Linked DNA regions of Elephas maximus indicus. The main gene of each other region encodes a partner of the protein of the gene in region 3 in a complex. Links are inferred from orthologs where the notes say so. Each region holds a gene or a part of one and is shown on either strand. Other genes may lie near its edges.

Region 1 (7,077 bases), on a different chromosome or scaffold from region 3:
ATTTCAAAGTGGGATGCAGAATGTTTTCATAATAGAATTATTTTGAGTGGACATACATTTTTATTGTCTTTGAGTAAATACCTAAGAGCAGGCTTCCTAAGCCATATGTTAGTATATGTTTAATTTTGTATGAAACTGTCAAACTATTTTCCATAGTGGTTGTACTGTTCTTCACTCCTACGAGCAATGTGTGAGAGCTCCAGTTGCCCCTCATTCTTGCCAGCATTCGGTATTGTTAGTTAAAAAAACAACAACAAAAAAAGTAGCCTTTCTGACAGATACATAGTGGTATCTCATTTTGATTTTAATTTAGGGTATGTACTTTTTTATGGTTCATGCTGTATTTACCCTCCATAATGGTTACATTCCTCCAATGGTATGTTCACGAGTTGTCACTCTTCTTCCTTTTGAGACATAAACAAAGGACCCTACAAGTGGCATCACAAGTCTAGGCAAAAATTCAGTATTTTTCTCTCCCTCATGACCTATTAGCCATCACACAGAAATAAAGTTCACTTGTATCATGGTTAAATTTCTGTGCAATGAATCCCATCTTCTCATGGACTCTCAGTCTAAAGTGAGAGATATGTTCATTTGGGGGAAAATTTGGCTTAAAGGCGAGTAAAGTCTACATTAGTGACTGTAGCAAGTTCTTTAAAGACATATTAAAAGTAAACTCTGATGGTTGCACAACATGGAGAATGTAATTAATGTCACTGAATTGTACACATAAAAATGGTTGAAATGGCAACTGTTTTGTTACATATTTTTTACCACGATAAAAAAATTTAAAGTAAACTCATCATTTGATGAGAAAGTATAATATTAAAATAATGTATTCTAATATAAAGTATTGAATTGCTCTTTCTGCTTGGCAAAATAGCTGAAATTACTACGCAGGGAAAACCTTAATTAAATGGACCATTTTACACCTTCTATCAAACTTCAATATATTTCAACAGTTGAATGTAGGATTACATTCAACTCTGATTACTAAGACTTTGTTTTTGGCATTTTGTGCCAAAGTCATTGGCTAGATTGAGCTGAAGTTAAATAGAATAATAAATAGTTGTCTCAAAAGAAATTTAAAAAATTCCTTGAAACTTCCGATTAAACATGGGGAATTTAAAACACATATTTACCTCCATTTCTTCAACAAACGTTACTAAAACAGCTTTAAAAGAATAAACAAAACAATAAAAAAACTGAATCAATCCCTACACTTAGTGACCCTACAGGACAGAGTAGAACTGTCCCACAGGGTTTCCAAGGAGTGGCTGTTGGATTTGAACTGCCTGCCTTTTGGTTAGCAGCCATGCTCTTAACTAATACACCACCAGGGCTCCTTAAATGAATAAGAAGACCTAAATCCAAATGGACAAAGAGACTTAACCTTTCCCACATTATCTCCAGGATACTTTCCCATTCTGTCCATGTGGTCCAATACAAAAGCCTTACCATTTAACTGCAATAACCATCTCTTTCTTCAAACTCCTTGGCTTCCACAACTTTTTTTTTTAATTCACCTCTTTCTCAATAAAAGTTGGCAGTTCTTCTAAGATGCATCAATTGGTCTTAACCCACCTGGAGCAAAGGAGAATGAAGAACACAAAAGACACAAGGTAATTATTAGCCCAAGAGACAGAAAGGGCCACAAAAATCAGAGACTACATCAGCCTGAGACCAGAAGAACTAGATGGTCCCCAGCTACAACAGATGACTGCCCTGACAGGGAACACAACAGAGAACCCCTGAGGGAGCAGGAGAGCAGTGGGATGCAGATCTCAAATTCTCGTAAAAAGACCAGACTGAATGGTCTAAGACTAGAAGGACCCCGGAAGTCATGGTCCCCAGACCTTCCATTAGCCCAAGACTGGAACCATTCCCAAAGCCAACTCTTCATACAAGGATTGGCCTGGACTATAAGATAGAAAATGATACTGGTGAGAAGTGAGCTTCTTGGCTCAGTAGACACATAAGACTAAGTGGGCAGCTCCTGTCTGGAAGGGAGATGAGAAGGCAGAGGGGGACAGAAGCTGGCTGAATGGACAAGGGAATACAGGGTGGAGAGGAGTGTGCTGTCTCATTAGGGGGAGAGCAACTAGGAGTATATAGCCAGGTGTATATAAATTTTTGTATGAGAGACTGACTTGTAAACTTTCACTTAAAGCACACATACACACACACAAAAGTTGGCAGTTTGGATCCACCAGGAATTCCACTCCTTGGAAACCCTATGGGCGGTTGTACTCTGTCTTATAGGATTGCTATGAGTCAGAATGGACTTGATGGCAACCAGTTTGGGTTTTTTTGGTTTACATTTTGAATATAAATGTCTGCTTTGGTAGACAATACCTCCCCCCTCTTCTTCTTTTTTCTCAACCATGTTTTTGCTCTCCTTGGCCTGATAGTCTTTTTATTATATACATTCTCTGTGGAGATCTTAATTGTTCTCATGGTCTCAACTATCATTTGTATGTGGATGGCTCCTAAATATCAATCTCCTTCCGTGAAGTCTCTTTTGGATTCTGTTCCAGAACCAGAGAAGCTAAATAATTTGCAGAAAACAGGATAATGCAGTGGCAGGCGGGTCAGAACTCAGGACTGGTACTAAAATTTGCTTCCAGGTTTCTTTTAGGTCTTTTTTTCTTCCCTTGGTTTTTAACTCTTCCTTGAACTGTTCCGCAGTTCATTTTGGTTCAGTTTTCCTATCATTTTGGCTTCTTTTCGCCTGCATTAAAACAAACACAAAACTTAACTAACTCTTCAAATGGCCTCCAGAGATGTCATTTTATACCAAAAAGCCCTCCTTCTCTACTTCTTTAGAAGAGCCTCTGTTTTCACCTTCACGAAATTTCCTTTTTAGGGAATTCAAAGGAAACATTTGTCATTAAAAAGAAAACCACCATTTTGTTTTCCTCCTGAAGTATTTAACACACCAAATACCAAATATTTACATTTTAAATGTAAACCTATTTGAGGGAATGCCTGTCTCTGTGTGGGGAAAGACAGCCTGTGGTAGAGTGGTGAGGAACCTGTGTATGGAAAGCCAAAGGTCTCTAACCTGAGAGACTGGAAAAATTGCAAATAAAAACCCAGCTCTGGGAGGCCTGGGGGTAATTCATCACTTCCGCCCTCCCTCCCCAAATCATCTGGAACTTCTTTGGGTGTTTATCCTGAAAAGGGTGTAAGCGAATGAGAAGGACAGAATTGAAGCAAGAACTAAGAAAAATTAGACCCTTAAGAAAAAAACAATTGTTATCCCACTCTTTTATATTCCGCATTAAAAGTACACTTTACCTACAGATTTCCGTGGAAACCAACTAAAGGGAATTAGGAGAAGCATTGCAGAGCCATTTCTGTGCGAAACGATGTTCGATTTTTATTAGGCCAGCTTTCTTTCACTTCCAAGGTCCCAGTGTTTATTAAAGCAACAATTAACCTCAGTAACAATTCTCCAAGGTAGTTTTATTCACCCAACTGCTTTCAAAATCAGACAGTCCCTCATGATGGAATTTAAAATACCATCTATATCCTGGTTCTGCACCACGGAACATCAGTCTCTGTGGGAAGCCTGTTCCCGGCAGGGCAGTGCCACGAAGGCATGCTTTTAATGTGATGTGCACGTTGGTGTGTGCACTTTGGCAGCAAAGCAGGGCCTGTGTTTTAAAACGGCCAAGAGCCGGTGCGTGTGTGGTGAATTATCGGTGTCGTAGCTTGGGATAGGATGCTTTCTCCCTCCCTTTTACACTAAAAACAGAAAAGCAAAAAAACAAATCCAACAGGCATCAAAACCGTCCCAGCGCCTGGGGAAAGCGCGCCAACCACACAAAGAAAAGGGGGGGGCTATTGGGATTCAAAACCATTTTTCTGGGATGGACACTCTCCTGGGCCTATCGGAGTTAACTGCGCGCTTGGTCGTATCCAATAGACACAGAGTTTCTGGTCCAGGTCCGCCCTGAAGACTGATAGACAATTACGTAGCCCAACGGAATAGTGTGATGCTGAAGAAGCAACCAATACGTTCGGGAGGTGGGTGGAGTGTAGGCTAGGGGGTTGGCGGTGCCGTGTCATGGAGGCTCAGTCTCCGAGCAGCCATTGAAGGGGAAGGAACTGCGGGTGTGTGAGTGTGTGTGTGCGTGTGTGTGCGCGCGCGCGCGAGTGTGTGGACAAGGAGGTGGGGGCAGCCGAGTTAGAGTCCCAACTCCTTGGACTCCATTTGCTATTCTCTTCCCCCCCCCCCACACCTATCTGGTGGCGGTGGGCGTTATATTTGCGTTTCTTTTCATTCATTTTCAAACCTTTTTAAATTTTAGGGTTGGGGGTGGTGGGGAAAGGCAGGAAAGGGGAAGGCAGGAGACTAGTGGCAGAAGAGGAGGTGGAGGACATGGAGATGAAGAAGAGGATTAACCTGGAGTTAAGGAACAAAGCCCCGGAGGAGGTGAGATGACTCAGCCCCCTCCCCTTCCCCACCAACCCCATATTCGGAGGGTCGAATTTCTAGGGGTCCGAGTGGGTGTGTAGGGAGAGGTAGGAAATTAACCCCCATCTGGGGTTAGGGCTGGAGGAAATGTTTAATTTTAAGTTTTAAATCATTAAAATCTTCTTTCTTAAAATGGCGAAGGGTTTAAGTTTCTAGGGGCCTTTTTGTGTGTGTGTAGGGGCTTAGCCCCTTTCGACTCTCGGTGAGCTGGGCTTCCTGCCCTCGTGGGGGCAGGGAAGCGAGGTGGTGGGGGCCCCTCTGCCCGGTCGCTCCCCGCCTTCCTCTTCTTGGAGGCAGGCGGCGTGGGCGCGACCCCCCGGTCCACTCGCCCCTGCCGCAGGCGCCGCCGCCTGAGAAGTTAGTCCAACTTTCCTGCAGTGCTGCCAACTCGTTTGGGGTCGAGGGCGGAGGGGTCAAGAGACCCTCGCCCCGACCTCGAGGCCGGTTGGCGCCTGACTTCGCGCTGGTCGAGGGCTGGGGTCGCTCGCAGGGTCCGCGGACCGCCAGCTCCTGGCGGCGCCCATTCCCCCGGGATGGGGCGCGCGGCGGCCGCCGGCTGGAGGAATCTGGGTCAGCCGCGGGCTAGTCGGACCGCGGGTAAGTTTGGGGACTCGTCGCAGTGACCGGAGGTGGGGAGGGGTCGTGAGGAAGAATCCCCTTCTTCCCTCCAAAGGAGAGGAGGACACCCCCGGCTTTTACACCGCGATGTAACGACATTCGGTGTCTAGTGGCGTAGTGGCCGCAACTCTGAATTTGATCCGCGGAGATGGGTTCACAAAACTCAACAAATGGGTCGTAGTAGTTTTGTGCCTTAAAGATGGGCACGACGAAACTCAGAGATGCGCTCTAGTTACTGTCGCCTTAGTTAAAGAGACGGGCTTGGGAGGGGCCACGTGAGGCGGGGTCGTCAGCTATCGGGGGGCGGGCGGGAGGTGTTCCCGCCTCCTTTGCGAAGGCGCCCCTCGGCCTCACCCAGCGCTCCCAGCCCCCGGCGGAGGCGCGAGGGGAACGCGGCCCGGCAAACCACCCCTTTCCCTGGGGCGTCCACGCACCATGTAGGGTTCCCAGTCGGCCCGAGCGCGCGCGGGGACTGTGGCCCGCGAGGAGCCTCGGACTTAAGGTTTCAAGGGAAAGTGTTAATTGCCTTGCTGGTGCGCAGCGCCTGAAATACTGTTAGCCCTAGAATTGGAATATGCGAGATATGTATTTTTAACGGGTGAGGTGGTGCCTGTGCACCGTAGAAGATGAGTAGGATTCTGGCCGGTGGGCTGCTGCGTGCAGAGTGGGACACAAGATATTTATGTACTTTTTTTTTTCTTTCCCTGAAATTGGTAGGGTGCGGGGAGGAGGAAATAGTTGCTGCTATCAGGGTCATCCCAGAGAAAACTTGAAGTTTTCTAGGATCTACTCTTCAGGGGCTTCAGGGAAAAGCAAAATCAAACTTGAATGCAGTCTTTCAAAAGCACACATTTAGAATACTTTTTTATGTCTTGAGTTGGAGAAATGGATTTGCCTCCCACCTCCCATTTTTTTACGTAGTAATTTCTTTGCAGCATTGCCCGTTTTGGGGATTTGGAGGAGAGAGTGCCTTTTTGCAAATTCTCCTTCCTCCGCCGTGATATAATAACAGTCTCTTACGTTTGTAAAGCTCTTTACAGTTTACAAAGCACTTTTCATTTTATTTACTTCACTCTTTCCGATAAACTTGTAAGGTGGATTGTATTGTTCTAGAATCCAAATTAGCAAAAAAAAAAAAAAAAGTCTTAGAGCAGTGAAGTGATTTACTTAAGTGGTAGAACTGGTTTCTGACACCAAATCTAGCAACCCTTCCACCACTCAGCTAGACTGGGAGTAAGAAGACTTAGGGTTGAGGCACAGCTCTGCCACATACTAATTGTGTGACCCTGGGCAAATCATCCATAGCCTCTGGCTCTTGGTTTCTCCATCTCTAGGGGAGAGATGATGCTTTCTCTGCTCACTGAAATAATTACGTCAAAGTCATATTCAGATGGGGAAGGTGGCATTCCGTGTTGCTAATTTTTAGCCCTCAAAATACTTAAAACATATTTTTGCTGTTGGGAAATAGAGCAGGGTCTCCTGCCTCCTTAAGATTCAGTCCTTTTAGGCCCATACCAGGAAGTTTTGTTGCTATAACAGTAACCTAATGGGGGATCAAGCCCTCCTCTCCCCTCCAAGAATAGAGAAAAGTCCACAAAAATGCTACCAGGATGGCAGGGAGAAATAACATTTTGTCAAGGATGTAATATTCTGGGTGATACTGTTTGGCCTCATTATTAGAACAAATAACACCGAAAAGCTAGGCTGTTCCAGAAAGGTAACAAGGTTGTTTTTTTTTTTTTGAGTTTGATGGCATTTATCAATGAAAGATGAGGGAGTTGAAAACTGAAAAAAATGAATAAAACTATTTCCTGTCTTCTCCTTGCTAACTTTTAGGACAACTTACTGGAATCCTTTCCCAATAGCCCAGGTGTCCCTTCACTGCATAAATACGGGCCCTGCTGTTGAGGATCATTCTCAAACACCATTAGGGTCAAAAACAGCTTTTACCATGGGTCCTTTTTCAAAGTTTTATT
Region 2 (7,438 bases), on a different chromosome or scaffold from region 3:
GCTAGAAGTAGACTGCAATCTGAAGAGAGAGGGGGAGGATAGGGAGAAAGAAATGAATAAAAACCTGGAGGCAAGAAGAGACTCGATGAATTTTGAAGACAGTGATGAGACTTACCAGGTCAAAGCGAAGGGACTGTCTGGGACAATAATGACAAAGATGTCGGTTTGGGAGAAAGTTTGGGAGAGTGAGGCAAAATTATGTGAGGCCTTAACAACCACACCAAAGGATTTTACATTTTATTTAATGAGCAAAACAAAGAGAAATTATACGTCTATGACTTGAGAAAGGAGGATACAGAGTGGAAGTAGAAATTTTGGTACCCGGATTTGGTGGCAGGCATTCTGCTGTAAAACCCCAAGGGCACAGTGTGTTTGCTCATATCCCCAGAACCCACAGCCTCTACCAGTCACTACTGGTTACCACTAGTCATAGTTGCCTACAAACAAACACTTTAAGAAAGGTTTATTGAAGGAATGAATGAATGAAATAGGAATTGGATTGGAGGTTGTTTCTAGGTGTGAAGTGATGAGAGCATGGTCTGTGTTTAAGACAGTGGGCATGGAAATACGTAGAGTCAAATCCTAGAACCATTTTCAAAGAAAAAATAATAGGATTTAGGGGATGGATATAACCTACTGGGCATAAATTAATATTTAGAGCCATATTTTAGGTTTATTATATACAGCAGCAGCGTACTTGCATTTGACACATTGTAAGTTTTTTTTTTTTTTTTTAACAGAAATTTGGTATTTGAAACAAATCACATTTCAAGGGTGAGGCTATTATAAGTAATTATTATCACCATAAAAACTTACGTTTCTTTACTGTCTACTCATATTCCCTCCACCCAACTTCTTAGCAGTTTTACCTCATACCTGGAGAGTTGTCCTTGTCACCCACTGAATGCTGGCCAGAGTAAACCTTCACATCCTCAAACCTACCTGGCAGTTGCCTCCTCCCACTCTCTTGTTCATACAGTTTCTTCCTCCCACGAATACCCTTTCTTCTACCACTTCATTCCCATGTCCAGCTGCCATCCTTCAAAACCAAATCGTATGTCACCTTGTCTGTGAAGTCTAATGAACCCAGCTGGAACCAACAGCTCCCTTTTCTGAACCCCTACAGCACTGCATTTGGTTATCTAGGTATCTCTTTACTAGTATCTTATTTGTATTTCCGAAACGATAGCACTGTGTGTTGCTTAGTTATTCAATAAATATTTGTGGCATGAAATAAAGCTATTTTTAAATACTGCAGATCCCTTCCCAACCAAACAAGAGTTTCCCTTTGAGGAAATATTAGTTCAGTTTTGCAGTAATATACTTTTTTCTTTTTGCAATGTTTAGAATTTCACATCACTTTTGTTTGGTACATTTAGAAAAAGGTAACTTACAGGTTAGGAATAGAAAAGAAAGTTCAAGTGTAAGAAATTGTTCCGTGGGATACAGGAAACAAACAAACAAAAAACTCAACTAAACCCTTTGTTGTCGAGTTGATTTGGACTCATGGTGATCCCATGTGTGCAGAGTAGAACTACATTCTGTAGGGTTTTCAAGGCTGTGATTTTTCAGAAGCAGATGGACAGGCCTTTCTTTTGAGGCACTCTGGGTGGGTTCGAATTACCAACCTTTCTGTTAGTCCAGTGCTTGCTTAACTGTTTGCACTACCCAGGGAGTCCCAGGATAAAGGAAGCTGAAGAAAATTAAACCTGGGCCTTCATTGCTGCACTCCTCTTCCTTAGGAGAGAGGGAAGTGAACTGAACTCATGAGGTCCTTGGGACTCCAGCCTTTGTCTCCTTGGGAACCCAGTAGAATCTGGGAGTTAAAAATCCAGGGCATTGAGAAACTGGATGGAGAACCGATACAAAAACAGGTATCTCTTAGCAGGTGTATTATCTGCAAGGAGAAAAAAAGGAGAAAAAAAGGCAGCTGAAATTGTAAGCGTATCTCTGAACCTTTGTGCAGGGCAAATCTAGACTTTCTAGAGAATAAGGAACTTAGATAATTATTTTAATGAAAGTAAAAGAAATTATTCATTTCCTTGGCTTGCTCATGACTTAAGATCCTATTTTGTTCTATAAAGTCTTCCAATTGTGACTTCTACTATTAGGATTTTAAGCTGGAGAGGAATATTATACTAATTTCAGCCAGTATTTTCTGAGTCGTTAAACCTCGCATCTTGGAAACCCTCTGCGGGCAGTTCTGCTCTGTCCTATACAGTCTCTATGAGGCGGGAACCGACTGGACTGCACACAACAACATTCCATTCCCAGTGCTGGTGGCAATTCTTGAGGTTCCCAGACTTTGACATGCTCTTGTGACCCTGAGCCTTTACAGATGCTGCTTCCCTTGCCTAAGATACCTTTCTTCTCCTCATTTTTTCTTTTTTGGCAAGGTTAACGCATACTTATCCTAAAATTTTTCTCAGATATTATCTTCTCCAAAAGCCTTCCCTGAATGCTTTCATTGGAGCCACTCCCCATGATTTGGGTGCCACTGCAGCCTGTTCCCATGATGGCCTCGGCTTTCCTCATAACATTTACCACATAGTGTGGCAATTGTCATTCACAGGTCTTTCTCCCCCACTGTGCAGGCTCTTACTGGAGCCCTGTGAGTGCCAAGCAATCAGCAGCATACTTGGGAGGCAGTAAGCGCTCCCTAAATACTCACTGAGTGAATGCAGTCTTGGTTTAAGAAATGCAGGTGAAAGTCCTGCCTCACAGGGTGAGTTGTTACTATTGTAATTTTAGAATAATTTTGGAGAACTGCAATCTATGTCTCTCCTTGTCTTCTCCCCACTTCATGGAGTGTAGCTAAAGCAACCTGGAAAATAGCAGTGTGCCTATGTGCCCTAAGCTAATAACAGTTCATTCCAACCCAGCATTTAAGAACACTGATTATTTTTACTATGTGGCCTCCAGGGGAAAAGCAGATTTAAAAAAACACTTTTGTATTTTGGCTAACACTTGAAACTTTGTTGCCAAACGTATCAAATCCACCCCAGCAATCTTTTTTGATTTTAACAACATTCCACTGGAAAGAGGTCTCTGGATACTGGTTTTTGCCATGTGGTGTAATAAAAACCAAATGTCAGCCATCTATCACAGCCATCTACATTTCTTCTAATAATTCAGTTATTCCTATTTGGGGGGGGGGGGACAGGGCAGAAACACTACAAGTCTTTATATGATTCGATTTTATAAACTTTTTCAGAGAACAAATGATAAGAATAAGTGTGAGCCCATGGCTATGTTGAAGCAGCATTATCTTTCGGCACAGAAAACTGGGAGCTGAATATAAAGAATACGCAAAAGTCCACTGCCGTCGAATCGATTTCACACTCATAGCAACCCTATTAGGACAGAGTACAACTGCCCTATAGGGTTTCCAAGGCTGTAAATCTTTGGGGAAGCAGACTGCCACATCTTTCTCCTGCAGAGCAGCTGGTGGGTTCCAAGCCTTGACGGTCAGGTTCGCAGCCGAGCGCTTTAACCACTGCACCACCAAGGCTCCCTATATAGACTTGAAAAGTTTGAAGATCTCGCTTAAAATTTTTCCTGGAGATTAGTGTCCAATAACCATTCCGTTTGCTCTAATTACGACAAAAAAGTTAATATGCAGGATTAAAAAAAAGAAAAAAAACCCACTTGGGACAAGTGTAGGATGCTTACCGTTTTTATGAGCCCAGTGGGTGGGAAACTGACCAATGATTTTATGGGGAGCCTATCAAATAATATAACCCAAAGTTTCATTAGACGTAAAAATAATTGCTAGTACACGTTCATCCAAAGTAACTTTTTGCTCCTAATTTCGTGTGCATTTTTGTTTTAAAGACATAAAAGGCTGGGATAATTAAGATATGCATTCACCCACCCAGCTTAGCATCGGTGCGCATCACTTCTGAAACGCCTTTCAAGCCCCACCGAAAGTGGCTTGGGCATAGCCCTGGGCATCGCCCAGCCCTCGCGCCGGCCGTCGTCGGGGAAAGCGCCCGGGCTGCTGCGATGACAGGTGCCCGAGCCCCCGGACCCCGCGCGGGCGCAGCCCCGGAGGGAGCAGGGCAAAAACAGCCACACGCATTTCTCTCCCCGTTGCCCTTCGAAAAGCCGGGGAGCGGGCGGACACCGGTTTTCCGCACCTTCACCCCTCAGGAAGCAGCGATAGGAGGGCGCGGGCGCGAGACAGCGTGTGCGCGAAAGGGGGCTGAGCAGCGAGAAGTCGGCTCGGACACCTGAGCGTCCCGACGTCCGGCTGTCCCGGCGCGCGGCGGCCCTGTCCGCCTCCCGGGCCGCGGAGGGCGGGGGCCGCGAGCAGCGAGCGCGGGGAGCGAGGCCGGCGGGAGCCGGGGGTTGGCGGGACGCGCGCTCCGTGCCGGCGCCCGGTCTCGAGCCCGCGCCCCCCCCCGCGTGCCCGCGCCGCTGCGCGATGCAGTGTGGGGAATGGCTGGGGTTGGCTGAAGAGCGCACAGTGGAGTTTTAATGTCCGCCATGTTGGCCATGGCGTATTGAAGAGAGCGAGAGAGAGAGGAGCGGAGCGGCACAGACTCCCACCCTCCCGGCTGCTGTTAGTGCCCGGACGGCGGGCTCTGCGCTCCGCCCCTCAAGTCCCCGGCAGCGGTAGGCGAGTGGGGACCGAACCCCCGGTTCTCCATGATCCCGCTGGCCGGGGCCGTTTCCCCAGAGCGGAGAGGTATCTGCTGCGCCTGAGATGAGTAAACTGTCGTTTCGGGCGCGGGCGCTAGACGCCTCGAAGCCGCTGCCGGTTTTCCGCTGTGAGGATCTGCCCGACCTGCACGAATACGCCTCGATAAACCGGGCCGTGCCGCAGATGCCCACCGGAATGGAGAAGGAAGAGGAGTCGGTACGTGTTAACTCCCCTGTCCGACCCACCGCCAGGCCCCGCTCCCTCTGCTGCCTGCGGCGGCGACGGAGCACCATAATCACACAAAATGGCCGCCATCTTCTCCTCCCCGCCGACACTCAGTCGCCGGCCGGGCCCTTACCCCGCCTCCCCCGGCCTCGACCCCCGGCCGCCGCGGCCCGCTAGGGCCTCCTCTAAGGCTAGCCGCCGACACTGGCCACTCGTACCCAGGTCCCGCGGAGTCCGGGGGACCCGAAAGGCACAAAGGGGTCACGTGACGAAGCTGCCGGCAGCCATTTTGTGGTCTTTAGTTCTTGGGTTGGGCCCTTCGCATCCGGAGAGGGGAACGGGTTGGGTGGCGGTGGGGTGCGGCGAGCTGGGAGCCGGGCAGGACCTGCCTGCAGGCCTCTTGGCGGGCCGCTGGGTGGCGCTCTGGGGTCGCCTCGGCCTCGCGCCGCTGCCGCCGCCGGGGCGCGCAGGGCCTGCCACCGCGGGGCGTTTGGTGCCTTCAGCGCTCGTGGGGCTCAGGCCGCGCGTCCGCCAGCGGGGGCCTCGGAAGTGCCGGTGCTGTTGACAGCAGGTCGGTCTGTCGCGGGTATTGCACATCGGCCGCGACGACTTACTTTCCTGGGAGGTTTGACCGACTTGCAGTATTCCCTTTCTGGGACTTTCGCATCCGTCCCTCTCCAGTACCAGTTAGTCGGAGGGGTGATAAACTGCTCCCCCTGACTTTTTCTTTGATCTTTCAGAGTATGTTGCCGATTTGCTTGGGGTACGTGGCTCTTCGAAAGGCTGTAACTTTGTTATTTTTTCTGTAACATGTAAGTTTGCCTGCGTTCTGGTCTCAGCCTAAGGGGAGAAAAGACCCGATTTAAAGTAAATGTCATAGATGTGGATTTCGAAAGAGGGTCATTTCTCATCCATAACTGAGCTGAAAATTAAATCACTTTGTTCACAGACGTCTTAACATAAGGCGATTGAAATGTCTGAAGTGGGTGGGTTTCAGTATTTAAATGACTGTTTACAGCTAATAGACATTTTGCCATATATGTGGCTTTACCGTGTTATGGAAGTTGAGTTCAGACGCAAGGATAATAGAATGTCCCTCTCATTTCCCCCAGATCCTTGACAGTGTAACTTGATGACTTCTAATCCTAAGGAATTGCATACCTTGGTTTTCAGCCATTTAAACAGGGCGCAGTGTATTGACAGTTCAAGGAAGTCAAGGAGTCGCGGATTTGTCTGCTGCAAATTTGTTGTGGAAAATTGTAATGCTTTCATTTGGTACTGTAAGAATTTTAAATGTAGTAATTATGCTCTGTAATGTTTTTGAAAATAAAACTGTTTAAACCATTTGGGTTGTTTAACCTTTTAAAGTAAAATAGTTGTGGCAGTTAAATGTTACTTTTGGGTAGTGTCTTAAATCTAACTTTAAAGATAAGCTAAGCGCTAAGTGTATGTAGTAGTTGAGATTGTCTAGTGCAGTACTGACTTTCAGCACCTTATCTATGAGACAGTACCTCTTTTTTTTTTTTTTTTTGGCTTGTATCAACTTTAGAGTAGAATGGTGCCATTTGTTTATTTTTAAATAAGTGATTTGTTTTTAAAAATTAAAGTACTTGTGACTGCAGAATCTTGTCTTGGTTTTTTGTTTCTAAGTTTTACAGATAATATTTTCAAGATGGGGTGTTGGTGTTACATGGTCTTTGAAATTAATTTCTAGTTTTTGTTTTGCAGCCAAGGGCAGACCCTTGATTAAAGCTGGGTAGCACTACAGTACACTTTAGAAGTTTAGTTTTGTTTCTGGGAATACTTTGAGCAGTCCCAAGAGCTACAATCTAAAATCAGAGCCAAGTTTAACTGAAGCATCAGTGCTTCTTAAATTTACAGGTAATTTTTGCTCACTGAAATAATTTCCACATTTTATAGTGCACTAGATATCATTCCCTGGTGGTGTAGTGATTAAGAGCTTGGTTGTTAACTAAAAGGGCAGCAGTTCAGATCCACCAACTGCTTCTTGGAAACCCTACGGACAGTTCTACTCTGTGTCATATAGGGCCTCTGTGAGTCGGAACCGACTCAACGGCACATAACTGCAACAACAAGACATTTTTTCCATAACACTATCCTTTTCATCATCTGTTTAGAATTTGTTCCACTTTACATCCAACTGAAGCTGTATGACCAGAGAAGCACGTTGTTGTTAGATGCCGTCAAGTTGGTTCCGACCTATAGTGACAGAATGTATAACAAACACTGCCTGGTTCTGCGCCATCCTCACAGTTGTTGGCATGTTTGAACCCATTGTTGCAGCCACTGTGTCAGCCCATCTCATTGAGGATTTTCCTCTTTTTCACTCACCCTCTACCGAGAATGGTGTCCTTCTCCGGAGACTAATCGATCTCTCCTGATAACGTGTCCAAAGTACATGAGACCAAGTGTTGCCATCCTCGATTCTAAGGAGCATTCTGGCTGTACTTCTTCCAAGACAGATTTACTCATTCTCCTGGCAGTCCATGGTATAGTCACTCCTCTTCATCATCAGAATTCAGATGCATCAGTCGTTTATCTTTCTTA
Region 3 (6,992 bases):
CTACCCCTACTGACCTTGTTTCCACCACCTAAACTCTGTCCCTTCTAAGAGCCTTGCACCTTCCTATCTTCCCTGCCTTTCAGCTTTTCACACACACCATCCTTGTACAGCAGGCCTGCCTTTCAGCATCTCACTGCTCAGAATCCTCTCACGTCAAAGATCACCACTGTGAAGCTTTGTGGACTACCTCCTTAGGGTCCTGGTAACCCACCCTTGGACTCATGACACTTGTCACTCTGGGATGTCACAGGCCATTGGCAGGACTTTCCCATGGGCCACGGGGTCTCAGCAGAGACTGTCTAGTTTCTGGTCATCCTAGTACATCCCAGCACTACTAGTACTCAATAAAAATGGGCTGAACCAACATGTTGGCCAGACTGGTGAGTGTTTTCCTAAGCAGGAAGAAACTGCTCAACTTCCTGTGTCCCAGGCCACCAGCTCCAAGGACACCCCACTGCTCCTCAGTTGCTGACCTTATTCTTGCGGCCATCAATCTCAAAAAAGGAGATGGTGCCCTTGCGGTAAATCTCGTTGCCTGGGGGGTGTCGCAGGTCGCACTTGGTCTGGGGAAGAAAGGAGGGTCAGAAGCAGGAGTGGGGGCAGGACGAGGTGCTGGGAGAGCAGCCTCCTGGGGCCCCTCATACCAAGTGACGCTGCAGACACTTGAGACTCCGGCCATACTTGAGGCAGAACTCGCAGAGATAGAGGACAGGCAACGTGGTGAGCTCTTGTGGGTACGGGGAGAAGTACCACGGCTTGAGGCGGTGCCGGCCCAGCTCAATGCACTCGATGTTTTTCATCCGGGTGACTATGTCGTCGTGACTCCGGTCGGACACCAGGCTACCAGTCATGCGTGGTGCCGATGGAATTCCATCTGAGCTGTCCTGGGAGTCCTGCCCAGGGCCAGTAGAAAACACCAGGTTACGAGAGATGACTCAAGCAGGACACTACAGCTTCCACAGCAACACTATAAAAAAGTACTATAATCCCACTTTCCAAACGAAGAAACTGAGACCCTGAAATCACCAAATGACTGGTCTGAAACATGCTCTACACCTGGCTGCAGATATCAGACACCACTGCCACCTAGCCCTCCCTTGTTTCTTTTTAAACTAGGCACTAAACTCCCCCTGCCCACATGCCCTCCCTTACCCCTAGCTTTCCTCTTCCTCTGCTCCCCAGACCCACCTCATCAGTGCCCAAACAATTTGATTTCCGCTTCCGTCCTGGCTGAGCGGCCACTGCCCTACGGGCTGATCCATTCTGCAAATGAAACAGTAGGAATAGAAGAGCCGAATGTGACATAACCTTAAAAGGGCTACCAAACGATAAAAGAGAGAAAAGGAAAAAGGGATAGTTTGGGGTACTCACCTGGGGAAAAACTGAGGCTGGGGCTGTCTCGCTGGGCACCGGAGTTGCTGGTGAAACCACCTCCACCTTCCGTTTCTGCAGAGAGAAACCAAGAAAGGTGGGTCAGAAGGTAGAGAACGTGGGACCTGAGAGTAAAGCAAGGTCCCTGGAATTGCTGAGGGTACCGTAGAGCGGTGATTGGGCTGCAGGCAGGAGCTGGAGGAGAGCGGCTGGTCGGGCTCGCCACCGGGGATGGCCTCCCGCTCCTTGGGCAGGTTGAAGCGGAGTGTGATCTGGACCGGGATTGGCAAGGTCTTCCCGCTGGCCTGGGCGGAGGCCGGCTGTAGAAATAGGTCCAGGGTCTTCCTCTGGGTTGCCATGGTGGTGGAATGGGGCAGGGGAGGAGGGGGCCCTCAGCACCAAGTGATCAAACCCCACCCTCTGCCCTCTCAAGGGCATAGAAATAGCCACTGGATTCTGGAAGCTATGACTGCAATGTGGCCCCGTCCTTTGCAGGCTGAAGCCAGGGTGAGAGGCTTACTGCCTCCTGCCCATCCAGGAGCCCCTGAGGCCAAGAGACAAGAGCAGTAGGAGGCAGGAGAGAAGAGGAGAAGCAGGTGACCTACTCACCACCTCTCTCTCTGGAGAGCCGGGGCGGGACCCAGGAAGCCCGTTCTTGGTGGGGGTCTTGGCCTCTTTCTTGGGAAACTGGATCTTCTTTAAGTCCAGCCGCTCGTGGGTCACCCATTCATCCAGACGTTTGTTGACTGCAGCAATGGGGATGGCTCAGGAAGGGATGCCAGAGGCTGCTCCCCAGCCCTACCCGCAGCCCCACCTCACCCGGTCCCAGAACTCACAGTCAATGTAGTGAACATAAAAAAGCTTCCGGCCACTGATGTCCTTCACGCTGAGGATCTCGGCCAGGGCTGCGGGAATAGCACAGGCAGGAGCCTTAGAGGGCCCGGCCACGAAGCTCCACCCTGCCACGACCTGAACTCCACCCCCAGCCCGGATCCCCTAGTCCCAGCACTTGGAAGCTCCCACCCAAGTCCCCTTTAGTCTCCAAATGGCACCCCTTCTCCAAGCCCCGCCCCGTCCATCTCAAGCAGCTACACGCCACGCCCCTCCTTCGGAGTGCCTGCGCCCCGCCCGCCCCAAGATTCCAGTGGCCCCTCCCCCTCCCGGGGGTTCGGTTGATCCGACCCGCCCCTCGCCCTCAGGTTGTTTAGCCCCGCCTCCCGACGTCACTCACGCCACTCATCCTCGTTGTCCTGGTTCCGCCGCAGAACGGGCAGGCGGCAGCCCTCGATTATCTCCCCCTGGGGAGACAGCGCGGCGCCAGGGTCGGCTACTGGGGGGCCTCGGGCCCTACCCACCTCCCCTGGCTCCCTCCGCCCCGCCCCAGGCACCGGACTCACCACCTCCGCCATCTTCCCTCCCTCCACTGCCACTTCCGGCTCCTCTGGGCGGCGTCACTTCCGGGGCTGAGGGAGCTGCAGGCCCGGGCTCCGCGAAGCCACCTGAGAAGCGAGATCCTTGAGGGATGCTACCGCCCGGCTGGAAGCAGGGAGCCGGCCCGTTCAGCTGGCTGGAGAAAGGGGCTTTCTAAGCCTCGGGCCGGCTCCTGGGTGGCCTCTCCATCCCGTGCCCAATGATTGGAGGAAAACTGAGTCCGTCACGTGACGCCCACCGGGTGCGACGCTGGTCATGTGGATGAGGCGCGGGTCACGTGGGACGAGTGTTTTGAGCTTTTACCTGTGGCCGTGCACGGGCGTCTCCTGGTGGCAGCAGGAGAAGTCGCGGAGAGTGAACTGCGCGTGCTCGGTGGGGGGCGGGGTCGGTGCGGCGGGGCGGGCCTGCAGGACAGAATAATACGTACTTTGGGAGGCTGGATGAGTGGGTGGGGCTCAAACTCTGCAGGGCCCGAATACCGGGCCAAGTTTAATATGCTTGAACCCATGGTTGCAGCGAGTGTGTCGGTCCATCTTGCTCGGGGTCTTCCTGTCTTTTGCTGACCGTCTACTAAGCATGGTGTCCTTCTTCAGGGACTGGTCCCTCCTGATAACACATCCAAAGTATGTGAAATGAAGCCTCGCTATCCTCCCTTCTAAGAATCATTTTCGCTGTGCTATCAAGACATTATTTTTTGGCAGTCCATAGTATGTTTAATTCTTCACGAACACCATAATTTAAAGGCATCAATTCTTCTTTGATCTTCCTTATTCATTGTCCAGCTTTATGCATGCCTGTGAGGTGATTGAAAATATGGCTTGGGTCATACTTACCCAGTGTCTTGGAGTCGACTGTGACTCATAGCGACCCTATAGGACAGGGTAGAACTGCCCCATAGAGTTTCCAAGGAGCGCCTAGGCAGATTCGAACTGCTGACCCTTTGGTTAGCAGCCGTAGCACTTAACCACTACGGCTTGGGCCAGGCACACCTTAATCCTTAAACTGGCATCTTTTTAACACTTTAAAGAGGTCTTTTTGCAGCATGAAGAAAGCAAGAGGTCATTAAAAAGGAAAGGAAGAAGACCAAAATGGATGTCAGAAGAGACTCTGAAACTTGAACATAGAGCAGCTAAAGCAAATGGAAGAAATGAATAGCTGAACAGAAGATTTTAAAGGGAGGCTGGAGAAGACAAAGGAAAGTATTATAATGAAGTGTGCAAAGACCTCAAGTTAGAAAATCAAAAGGGAAGAATATGCTCAGCATTTCTTAAGCTGAAAGAACTGAAGGAAAGAATTCAAGCCTTGAGTTGCAATATTGAAGGATTCTATGGGAAATATATTGAATGGTGCAGGAAGCATCAAAAAAGTTGGAAGAAGCATACAGAGTCACTATACCCAAAAGAATTGGTTGATGTTCAGCCATTTCAGAAGGTAGCAAATGGTCAAGAACTGATGGTACTGAAAAAAGTAGTCCAGGCTGCCTGAAGGCATTGGCGAAGGCTCCAGGAATTGACAGAATACCAATTGAGATGTTCTAACAGAAGGATGCAGTGCTGGAAGTGCGCGCTCATACATGCCAAGAAATTTGGAAGACAGCTACCTGGCCACCTGACTGGAAGAGATCCATATTTGTGCCCACTCCAAAGAATGGTGATCAAACAGAAGGTGGAAATTATCGAACAATATCATTAATATCACACACAAGTAAAATTTTGCTTTGATTTTGTCTATTAGGTTCTGATTTTTTAAATAATACATCTATTACCCTTTCATGGAAACCGTGGTAGCATAGTGGTTAAGTGCTACGGGTGCTAACGAAAAGGTCAGCTGTTCGAACCCACCAGGCATTCCTTGGGAACTATGGGGCAGTTCTACTTTGTCCTGTAGAGTCACTGTGAGTCAGAATTCATTTGACAGCAGCCGGTTGTGTTGTTGTTTTTTTTTTTCAATCCTTTTATACATCCAGCAAATACTAAGTGAGCCCTGCCATGTGCTAGGCACTATTCTCGGAACTTGGAATACATCAGTGAACAAAATAAAGATCCTGCCCTCATGGAGCTTACCTTCTTGGGGACTGAGAGGGAAAAGAGTGGTATAGATAGTAAATGATACACATAGTTAGAAAAGCAAATTTAGCGTGCTATGGGAAGCAAAATCAATGAGCAGGATACATGGGTAGGATACAGGTAGGCAGGTTACAATTTAAAATACGATGTGCAGGGGAGGCCTGGCTGGAGTGTATTATTTGAGCAGAGATTTAAAGGAACAAGAGGGTGAGTCATGCGTATACTTGGGGGGAAAGATGACATTGGACATCATTGGTCACTTGTCTCCCTTGAAACACTCTTTTCTTGGCTTCCAGAACGCCAGACTCTCCTCGTTTCCTTCGTAGTTCCCTGGCTGCTCATCGTCTTTATTGGGTTAAGTTCCTGTCTGTGACCTCTAAACATTCTGTTAAAGAAAATGCTGCCCTCCCCGCCTATTTAAACTTAACTCTCAGACCGTCACTGAAACTGGAAACTTGTGATAAAGGCAGTTTTGGGGAAAGTTTAAATAATTAGGTAAGTCATAACTAGCCTATAGAATGTGTGCAAACTTAATAAAAAAAACAGACATAGTAAGAGGTGGGGGTGGGGGAGTGGGTACTGTAACCTTGCTCACAGTGAGCGTTTTGGTTGAATATCTACTAGACAAGGGGTTGGCAAACTATGACAAATCCAATCCACTACAAACCAGGAGTTAAGAATAGTTTTTACGTTTTTAAATGGGGGGAAAAGTGAAGGCTATTTTGTCACACGTGAAAATTACATGAATTTCAAATTTCAGTGTCCGTAAATTGTCTTACTGGAACTCAGTCACACTCATTTGTTTACATTTTGCCTCTGACTTCTTTTGTGCTACAACTGAGTAGTTGCGTTTGAGATAGTAAGGCACACAAAGCCTAAAATGTTAGCTACCTAGCATTTACCAAAAACAGCAACACGACAACAAGCTCTTGTAACACCACCACACATCCCTTTACACAAAAAAATGTTTGCCAACCTGTTTTAGATTATTGTGCTTATATCTGTTTGACACGAAATAGATTCTTACCACGTATACTGTTCTGCGATCAGCTTGTTCACTCAGCAATATAAATTGAATGCTTGTCATTAAATATTCTCTAGTATTTTAATGGCCATATAATGTTTCCTCATTTAGAAACACCTTAGCTGCCATAACCAATTTCCTGTTGTTGGACATTCAAGTTGTGTCCAATTTCCTGCTACTACAACACTGCAAAGAGTGAGCATCTGTATACTTGCGAGTTTCCATGTATTCACCCCGGCCTGACTTACATTGAAGATGTTAATGGGGAATGACTATATCTGCATTCTAGAAAGACCACCCTGGTGGCTGTGTCCTTGGATTGGAGGGGCTAAGACAAGAACAGGATACCAAGCAGAAGACTGTTGAAATTGATTTTTCACTGGCTGATAACGGTCAGGAAATGTCTGTGCACACTACGTATGCGGTAAACACAGTTTCAGTTGCTGCCACTCCATGTTGACCTCCACACTCTCAATCCGATGGCCGTTCCTCAGTCTACTTATTAGTGACATTGGACATCATTGGTCACTCCTCTCCCTTGAAACACTCTTTTCTTGGCTTCCAGACGCCGGACCGTCCTCATTTCCTTCCTAGTTCCCCGGCTGCTCATCGTCTTACTGGATTCTCTTCCTGTCTCTGACCTCTAAACATTCTGTTAAAGAAAATGCTCCCCCTACCTGTCTCAACTTAACTCTTAGCCATTCACTGAAACTAAAAACTTGTGATAAAGACAGTTTCATTCGTTAGGCCATAGCATACGTGAATACTTAATAAAGCAAGTCAAACTGCCTCCTACCGGCTAAGTGAATGACAACCAATCATTTAAAATTTCCCTTTTGGGAAATTCCACAACAGTTTGTACTGTGTATAAGCTGGTCAAGACAGTTCACATGTGCCAGTTTTAGCCCTGGACTTCATCTTTTTATCCATATTCACTTCTTTGGTGATCCCCAAGTTCATGCCTAAATATCACCCATGGGCTGAGGCTTCTCAAATTTTTATTTACAACCCAGACCTCTCCTGAACTCCAGACTCTCGCTGCCCACTCAGGAGGTCTAAAAGGCATGTCCGTTATAAAGAAAATGTTCTACATTCTACTT
Region 4 (7,954 bases), on a different chromosome or scaffold from region 3:
TAGAAAAGAACAGATACCCCTAAAAGGATAAAGCTTCCTCGTGACTATTCTCATCTTTTGTTCTATCTGCCTTGGGCTAGCAAACCAGTCTGATCCAGACAAATTTGCTGAACTGGTTTTATGAAATCCCTTTGGAATGAGGCAGGTATAAACAGATAAACAAAAAAATCCTTAGTAAAGAAATACCATTTTGCTTAGCCTTAAAGTATTAGGTTTTGTTTTTGACTTTTAAGTTGACCAAACATTCTTTTTAAAATCATCTAATAAGCTAGTCAGAACCAAATGAGAGAATATATATATCGAATTAACCTTTAGAATGGACATTTCTCTCCTACCCACAGCCATGCGACGTGTGTTAGTTATCTAGTGCGGCTATAACAGAAATTTATTTCTTCACAATTTAAGAGGCTAGAAGTCTGAATTCAGGGCACCGGCTCTAGGGGAAGGTTGTCTCTCTCTCTGTTGGCTCGGGGAAGATATTTGTCTCAGCTTCCATAAGCCCCGTGTTCCTAGGTTCCTTGGAGATCCTCGCATGTGTTTCTGTCATCCCCACTTTATGCTTGCTTGCTTCTGTGTCTAACCTGCTCTTTATATACCTCAAAACTCATTAGGTTTAAGACAAGCCCTACACTGATATGGTCTCATGAACATAACAAAGAAAACCCTATTCCCAAATGGGATTACATCCAGAGGTATAGGGGTTAGGATTCCCACACATATTTGGGGTTGGGGGACACAATTCAATCCGTAACAGGACACTGGCATTCCTCCCCACCCTCCAGAACAGATCAACACTGCCTTCCAGACCTTGGAAGGCTCTCTAGGCAAGACAAGCAAGGCCAGCAGATACTGATGGGCAGGCTGCACACTACACAAGGGTGTCCAACTGAGAGAGCACAAGTTGGGGCAGAAATTCATCCTTTGGTGAAGACTGCAACATCGCAGAGAAAGAAAAGCATTTTTTAAAGTATTTCACTGGAGTGGATACCTTTTTGCAATTTATCTGGAGCCAGGAGGCAGGCACATGGTTCTAACTAGCACAAAGGTATTGTATGAGCTAATGGTGGCCTTGAAGATAAACACAGGGTGCTTGGAGCCATTGAGTGTCCTGTGAAGGCTGAGACCATAAATAGCTCTGTCTGGCCTTGGGCCTTGGAGCCAAACAAACATTAACCAAAGCTATCTTTCCTTTCCAGTTGAAAGGGACTGTGAAGACAGTTGTTCAGCTGTAAATTCAAAAGGAAGAAGAGTAAGTTCTATCTTCCGAGGATCTACTAAGAATCGGGAATCTGCTGAAGCTTTTTCCTACAAGTAAGTGGAGGGTGCCGGATTGTATTCACTTTTGAGAGGGTAACATGGCATAATGGGGAAAGCATGGGCTTTGGAGTCAGATGAAGGAGCCCTGGTTGCCCAGTGGTTAAGCACTCAGCCACCCGCTCTGCAGGAGGAAGATGTGGCAGTCTGCTTTGGTAAAGATTGTAGCCTTGGAAACCCTATGGGGCAGTTCTACTCTGTTCTATAGGGTTGCTATAAGTTGAAATTGACTTTATGGCACTGGGTGGGTAGGTTTAAAGTCAGACAGAGAAATCTGAATCTTTGTCATTTACTATCTGAGCAACTTCAGGTAAGTATTTAACTTCTCTGGGCTTCAGTTAGGATTCACTAAGATAACAGATATCAAGAGCTGAGCCTAGTGCTGCCTGGCACGTAGGAGGCATTCAGTTCCCATGCCCTTCTCTGCTACCACCCTGACTCCAAAGTTAACTCATGTCATTCACACTCTTGGCCTTGAAACTTCTCCCAGTAAAGCATAAAGATGGGTCTGCTAGACAGACCTACTGGAGCAAGAGTCAGGAGATGTGGGCCCTGGTGCCAGACACATCCTGTTATAGTACTTTGGGGAAGTTACTCCTCTCAGCTGACCACCTTAATAAAACAGAACACCCCTAACACCTCCGAAAGAAAAAAGCAGAGGAAATCACTTTTCTTGGGCACTTGCCATGAGGAGTGCACTGTGCTAGGCCCTTTTGTTGTTGAGGAAACCCTTGTGGCACAGTGGTTAAGTGCTATGGCTGCTAACCAAAAGGTCGGCAGTTCAAATCCACCAGGCGCTCCTTGGAAACCCTGTGGGGCAGTTCTACTCTGTCCTATAGGGTCGCTATGAGTCGGAATTGACTCGACAGCAATGGGTTTTGGTTTTTGTTGTTGTCGTTAGCTGCTGCCCAGTCATTTTCAACTCATAATGACCCCATGTGACAGAGTAGAACTGACTCATAAGGTTTCCTAGGCTGTCACTATGAATTGGAATCAACTAGACAGCAACCCGTTTGTTTTTTTTTTATCTTTACCAGACCAGATCGCTAAGTCTTTTCTCCTGTGGAGCTGCTGGGTCGGTTCATACCGCCAACCTTTCGGTTAGCAGCTGAGCACTTAACTGTGACCCCACCAGGTCTCCTTAGTCCCTTTTACATACTTTATATTCTCTAAATCAGTGCTATCCAATAGAACTTTCTATGATGGTGGGAATGTTGTATATCTGCACTGTCTAATACAGCCATTGGCTACTGTGACTGAGGAACTAAAGTTTTTAGCTAATTCATGTAAATTTAAGTAGCCACATGTAGCTAGCGGCTACAACACTGGATAGTACAGCTCCCTGGGGGACATAAACATTTAAGCGCTTGACTTCTATCCAAAAGGTTGGCTGTTCAAACCCACTCAGAGATGCCTTGGAAGACAGGCCTGGAGATCTGCTTCCGAAAGATCACAGCCTTGAAAACCCTACGCAGCAGTTCTAGTCTGCACACATGGGGTCGCCATGAGTCGGAATTGACTCGACAACAACAACAAAGATTATGAAGCACGAATATTTTTTACCATTTAATCTATGGTAAAACTGAGACTCAGAAAAGTTAAAGAACTTGTTGAAAGTCACTTAAGTATTAAGTAATTAAACCAGATTCAAAACGTAGGAGTAGAAAGCTTAGTAGGGTAATAAGGTTAGATATACCTAGTATTATCTAGGTTCCACCATTTACAAATTGTATGACTGAGTAAAAAAATATCTGGAACTCACTGTCATCATCTATAAAATGATGACAGACCTCTTGTTGAAATTAATGGGTATAGATCTATATAGTGGGGTCCATACTAGGCTTTCGAGAACTTTTATTCCCTCAGCACTATGATTCCTCCCTTACACATGGAAGAGATTCAGACATAAACTAAAAAAGAAACAACTTCAGGGTAGACAGAGCATTTGGGAAATACAAAAGCAAGAAGGGAAACACTCATGAGCTTTTATGTGATATCCAATTATAGAATGGAGATGGAGAAGGGTATAAAATCATCAAAATATCTCCATTTAATTGATCTGCTTCCCTGCCCTTCCTTGTCTCTCTAGTTAACATTAGCCAAAGTAAGGAAGAGAGAAAGTATTTGTAATGTGTTTTGAGGCCCAGAGACAAGCTATAAATTGAACAATAATGTTAAGGGCTAGGATTGAGAGGCAGATACAGTTCAAATCCTGGTTCCCATATCTGTTTGTGCACTTGGGGAAATAATTTGACACCTCCTGACGGCACTGGGTTTTTTTTTTTACACATTAGTTCCTAATCCAGAGTGTCTCAATAAGCATAAAAAAATTAATTGTTTATTATCTTGCGTTAAATTCTGTAGCACCCTCTAGTGGTATGTGCAAAATAAGCATTGCATTTCTGCCCTCCAAAGCGCTGGTTCTCAAATTTTAGTGTGCATCTGAATAACCTGGACAGCTTCTAATAATACAGATTGCCAGGCCCCACCCCAAGAATTTTTGATTCTGTAGGTTTGAAGTGAGGAGGCCTGGTGGCTCAGTGGTTGAGTGATTGGCTGCTAACCAAAAGGTCGGTGGTTTGAACCCACCAGCAGTTCTGCGGTAGAAAAGACCTGGCTATCTGCTCCTGTAAAGATTTCAGCCTGGTAAACGCTATGGGGGCAGTTCTGTCTTAAAGGTTCTCTATGGGTCAGAATCGACTCAACGGCAGACAACAGGGCTGAGTGGGGCCTGACAATCCGAATTTCTAACAACTTCCCAGGTGATGCTAAAGCTGCTAGTTCAGGAAACATACTTTGAGAACCACTGCTCTAAACGACCCCGGACCGACATACACACATAATGTATATATGATTGATAACTCAAAGAGGAATGATTTTTGTTGTTGGATTTTGATTTTGTAGTACCCACCTAAAAGGGATTTTATGAGGAATAAATGAGAATATCCATGTGAGGTCAACACCGCATCTAAAATATAGAAAGCATGCAAAAAACTGAGAATCACAGAACATAAATCATTTGCCCAGAGTCACAGGGCTATAAAGTGGTGACATAGAGATTAAAAGGTCTCTGGCTCCAAAGACATAATAAAGTTTAGCAGTACCACTGCACATACACACGTGTGATAAAATTGTCATGAGAAAAGATCAGTTTTCAATGCCAGATCCAAGTTTTACCTCAGAGTTTTTAATCTATCTTTACGGACTAAACAGCCCTCTGTGTACTGTTTTGGGGGGTTGTTAACATTTGAGAAGAAGGTGAACAGAAAGGGTAGAATCTTCATCAGCATCAGTGCCTAGTATCATTCATCACTTCCCTAAAAAAAGAAGGCATGGAAGAAAGAAGACAGAGGAATGAGGAAGGAAAAAAAAATTTTAAGGGATGAGGTAAGAAGGAAAGAAACAAGAAAAGCATTTGGATCTTGGGCCATGGTCCCCTGCCTATTAGGGCCATTTACAGAGGTTGGCTTCATTTTCCCCCTAGAAACGAAAGAAAGATATACTCACTGGAGATTGGAGAGTTCAGCAAATCAGAAACACGGGAGGACAAAATCCCATAATTCCAGGGACCAAATAGCCAATCCTTTGCTAGGATTTGGCGACATCTAGTGGCCGACTTGAGAGGTATAAACCTCATCCAGAGAACTTTCTGGAAAATTAATTGTGTGTGTACTCGCTTGAAGGGCACTGTGCTTGGTGGTCAGGACAAAAAGGTAAGAGTTCCTCAGCCGCCACAGAAATTTACGGTCCTTCGTGAAGGGAGAGGCAGTCGTATATTGATTATCCCAGCAGAAAATTATATTTGTACTAGGGGAATTGCGTGCAACTTTGGGGACGAGCGGGGCTAGGGGGCGGGCAGGGAGAAAGGGGTGGGAATGGGAGAGAGGGGCAGGGAGCAGGGAGCTGTCCTGAGAAGGGGGGAAAAGGGACGGGGGACACAATGGAGAGGGGGAAAGGGCGCGAAGGGGGGGAAGGGAGAGAAGAGTCGAGGGATGGGCGGGAGGCGGGGGAAGGTAGGGGGAAGGGCGGGCGGGGATGGGAGGAGGATATTGGGGAATATGAAAGGAGCTGCCCCTTGGAGTTGCTAATAGAGGAACGGGAGGGTTTGGCTCTTGTGCAATGGGGAGATGTGATTTAGAGCAGGATTTTGGCACCGAGCAAAACGTGGAAGGGTCTAAAATTGAGTCAATAGGAGAAACCAAAATACTTCATATAACAGAGGCCCTTTGTTATTATCCGCTTGACTTATTTTCCTTTTTTTTAGAACAATTTTCAAACATACAAAAGTAGAGAACAATTGCTATAATAAACACCCACACACTTATTACCTAAATTTAACATAGTGCAGCTCACCTATAGGTAAACACACACACACTCACACCAACCCCACTCAGGGACACACACCGTGCCCCAAAGCTAAGGGCGCAGGCTGGCGCACACCCCCAGGCCACGCGAGCTCGCCTGCGCGCGCGCGCACACACACAGGCCCCAACGACACGCGCCCGAGCCACCCGCCGCCTCCACTCACACGCATATTAAAAACACCCCCGCCTCCCCCCCCCGAGTTGCGCAAGAGGTTGGGGGGCGTGGCCCCAGGTTTGACCTCGCGCTTCCCCACCGGCGGGAACCTTAGCTCATTTCCGCCGTCCCGTTTCCGCAGGCCACGTAGACACTTCCTTTCCCAGTGTGGCGGGGGGGACCCATAATGCCTCTCTAAAGAAAAAAAAAAAACCTTCTGGTCAAGGGAACTCTGGGTCGTGAAAATAGGCCACGTGAACACTGTGCTCTATAGACTTATGACCCAAAGGCTGTCGCGCTTTTGGAGGGTGGGCTAAGAACCTAAGAGGGCGAATGTGATTGGCTGCAGCTCACAGTAAAGAAGGAAGGTGATTGGTTTGCTCCGAGCCTTAACCGTGAAGAAGCAGGTTACTAGCACCCGCCTTTACTGCGGCTAAGTGTCACTGCTTACGTGGTAGTCCTCGTCCAATCATTTGGTTATAGAACATTCTAAAACTTAGACAAGACGAATGTGATTGGCTGAAGGGCATAAGCCCGCCTTTAGGATGACGTGTCTGCCTATGGATATCAGTTGCCAGAGAAACCTGGCTTTACTATGGCGGTTGGAGGAACGGCAGTGATCACACGTCGGCTGTTGGGAAGAGCTGGATTCTCGTTTCAGGTTTCGGGGTGGGGGTGGGGAGGAAGGGTTGGTGATTTCCCTTTATCCTGTGTATGTATAAGGTATATATATACACATATACAGACAGAATCAGCTACTGGCTTTACAATCGGTCAGAGCTGGTTCAAATTCCTGCTCGCCAACGCCCAGCTCGGGCAAGGCTCCGATTCTTTCTGTATCTCGGTTTCCATGTTTGTAAAATGGTGATAATAATAGTATCTACCTCAGAGACGTGTACGAGGGTTAAGTATGATAGTGCGTATAAGGCGCTCAATACGAAGCCTGGCTCTTGTAGATATTATTATTACTATGGAGATAAAGCCTCACATAACAGAATGAGAAAATATGTATTATGTAAATTCGCTCATTATAGTGCCTTCCCTGCCCATCAACTTCCCTCGAAGAAATTAGAGATGTAAGAGGCGTAATTGTTATCGATGAAACAATACGCCGAGATTTGCTTCGGAATAGGATTGAAATTTTCCAAATTGAAAAGTAAAAAAAAAAAAAGATTGAAAACGAGAGCGAGCTGGAGATCAACCACATGCGATGAGTAGGCCTTGTTTGGTTTCTGATTTGAACACAACTGTAAAACGTTGTTTAAGATACATAGGGAAAATTTGATCACCGACTCGATGTTTTATGGCTTTTAAGAAATTTATATCATTTTTTAGGCGTTATAATGATACTGTGGTTATGGTTTTAAATTTTCTACCTTGTAGCGATATCGACTAAAATATTCACAGATTAAATAATATAATGTCTGGGATTGGCTTCGAAATACGTTGACGACTAGGATTTGCTTCAAAATAATTTCTGCGAAGGGGAGAGCGGAGAGGGCTGTAGATAAAACAAAATTGGCCTGAAGTTAAAAATCGTTTAAGCTGACTGTTATTACTCTGTCTATCTTAGTGTATGTTTGAAATGTTCCATAATGAAATATAAAAAATCAGCTATTTGGTGCTTAAAAAATTGGAGGGGGGGCAGTGGGTGGGGTTATAGATGAAACAAGATGGCCTTCAGTTGGTAATTGAAGCTGGGTGATAGATTCGTGTGGGTTGGTGATACTATTCTATCTAAATTTTTGTCCATTTGATTTTTTTTCCTTCATAAAATGGTTTTTAAATATTAGTTTGTTTAAAAAATAGGTTAAATGTACATGATTTGAAAATATAACCACAAGAAAGAAAAAAATATTTGTGCATATTTATCAGCTTTGGTGTTCTTTGTGTGTGATAAAATGCATTGATTGATGGAAAAGAAAACCGTGGTCTGATATCTTTTTATTTTATGTCCTTTCCTGTCCCCTTCTTTGACCTTCTAGGTCATCATCAGAAAAGCTAAGTTAGTTGCACAGTAAGGATCAGAAGATCTGATCCTGATTACAGAACCATCCCTCATTACAGAATCTTGGGTAAGTGCTTCCCTTCTCCTGGCCTCAGTCCTCAAACAAGATAATAC

Evidence for each region.
Region 1: KAT5 (region 3) and ANP32E share a complex: the UniProt entries of both Homo sapiens proteins name them as parts of the SWR1-like complex. The link is inferred for Elephas maximus indicus from reciprocal best matches to the Homo sapiens genes KAT5 and ANP32E.
Region 2: KAT5 (region 3) and EPC1 share a complex: the UniProt entries of both Homo sapiens proteins name them as parts of the nuA4 histone acetyltransferase complex. The link is inferred for Elephas maximus indicus from reciprocal best matches to the Homo sapiens genes KAT5 and EPC1.
Region 4: KAT5 (region 3) and MORF4L2 share a complex: the UniProt entries of both Homo sapiens proteins name them as parts of the nuA4 histone acetyltransferase complex. The link is inferred for Elephas maximus indicus from reciprocal best matches to the Homo sapiens genes KAT5 and MORF4L2.

What each region holds. Positions count from the first base shown.
Region 1 is NC_064821.1:184,387,907-184,394,983, reverse strand, and holds the start of ANP32E (acidic leucine-rich nuclear phosphoprotein 32 family member E), read left to right. Parts: upstream 1-4,063; 5' UTR 4,064-4,387; coding exon 4,388-4,441; intron 4,442-4,590; exon of another isoform or gene 4,591-5,080; intron 5,081-7,077. UniProt on the Homo sapiens protein: Histone chaperone that specifically mediates the genome-wide removal of histone H2A.Z/H2AZ1 from the nucleosome: removes H2A.Z/H2AZ1 from its normal sites of deposition, especially from enhancer and insulator regions.
Region 2 is NC_064822.1:5,673,084-5,680,521, reverse strand, and holds the start of EPC1 (enhancer of polycomb homolog 1), read left to right. Parts: upstream 1-4,499; 5' UTR 4,500-4,708; coding exon 4,709-4,861; intron 4,862-7,438. Other genes in the region: translation initiation factor IF-2-like, read right to left, coding at 4,149-4,499. UniProt on the Homo sapiens protein: Component of the NuA4 histone acetyltransferase (HAT) complex, a multiprotein complex involved in transcriptional activation of select genes principally by acetylation of nucleosomal histones H4 and H2A.
Region 3 is NC_064825.1:128,857,932-128,864,923, reverse strand, and holds the start of KAT5 (histone acetyltransferase KAT5), read right to left. Parts: upstream 3,010-6,992; 5' UTR 2,781-3,009; coding exon 2,603-2,780; intron 2,277-2,602; coding exon 2,208-2,276; intron 2,118-2,207; coding exon 1,981-2,117; intron 1,692-1,980; coding exon 1,536-1,691; intron 1,447-1,535; coding exon 1,372-1,446; intron 1,264-1,371; coding exon 1,189-1,263; intron 894-1,188; coding exon 645-893; intron 564-644; coding exon 474-563; intron 1-473. UniProt on the Homo sapiens protein: Catalytic subunit of the NuA4 histone acetyltransferase complex, a multiprotein complex involved in transcriptional activation of select genes principally by acetylation of nucleosomal histones H2A and H4.
Region 4 is NC_064846.1:54,508,363-54,516,316, forward strand, and holds the start of MORF4L2 (mortality factor 4-like protein 2), read left to right. Parts: upstream 1-4,936; 5' UTR 4,937-5,027; intron 5,028-5,917; exon of another isoform or gene 5,918-6,111; intron 6,112-6,328; exon of another isoform or gene 6,329-6,493; intron 6,494-7,817; 5' UTR 7,818-7,907; intron 7,908-7,954. UniProt on the Homo sapiens protein: Component of the NuA4 histone acetyltransferase complex which is involved in transcriptional activation of select genes principally by acetylation of nucleosomal histone H4 and H2A.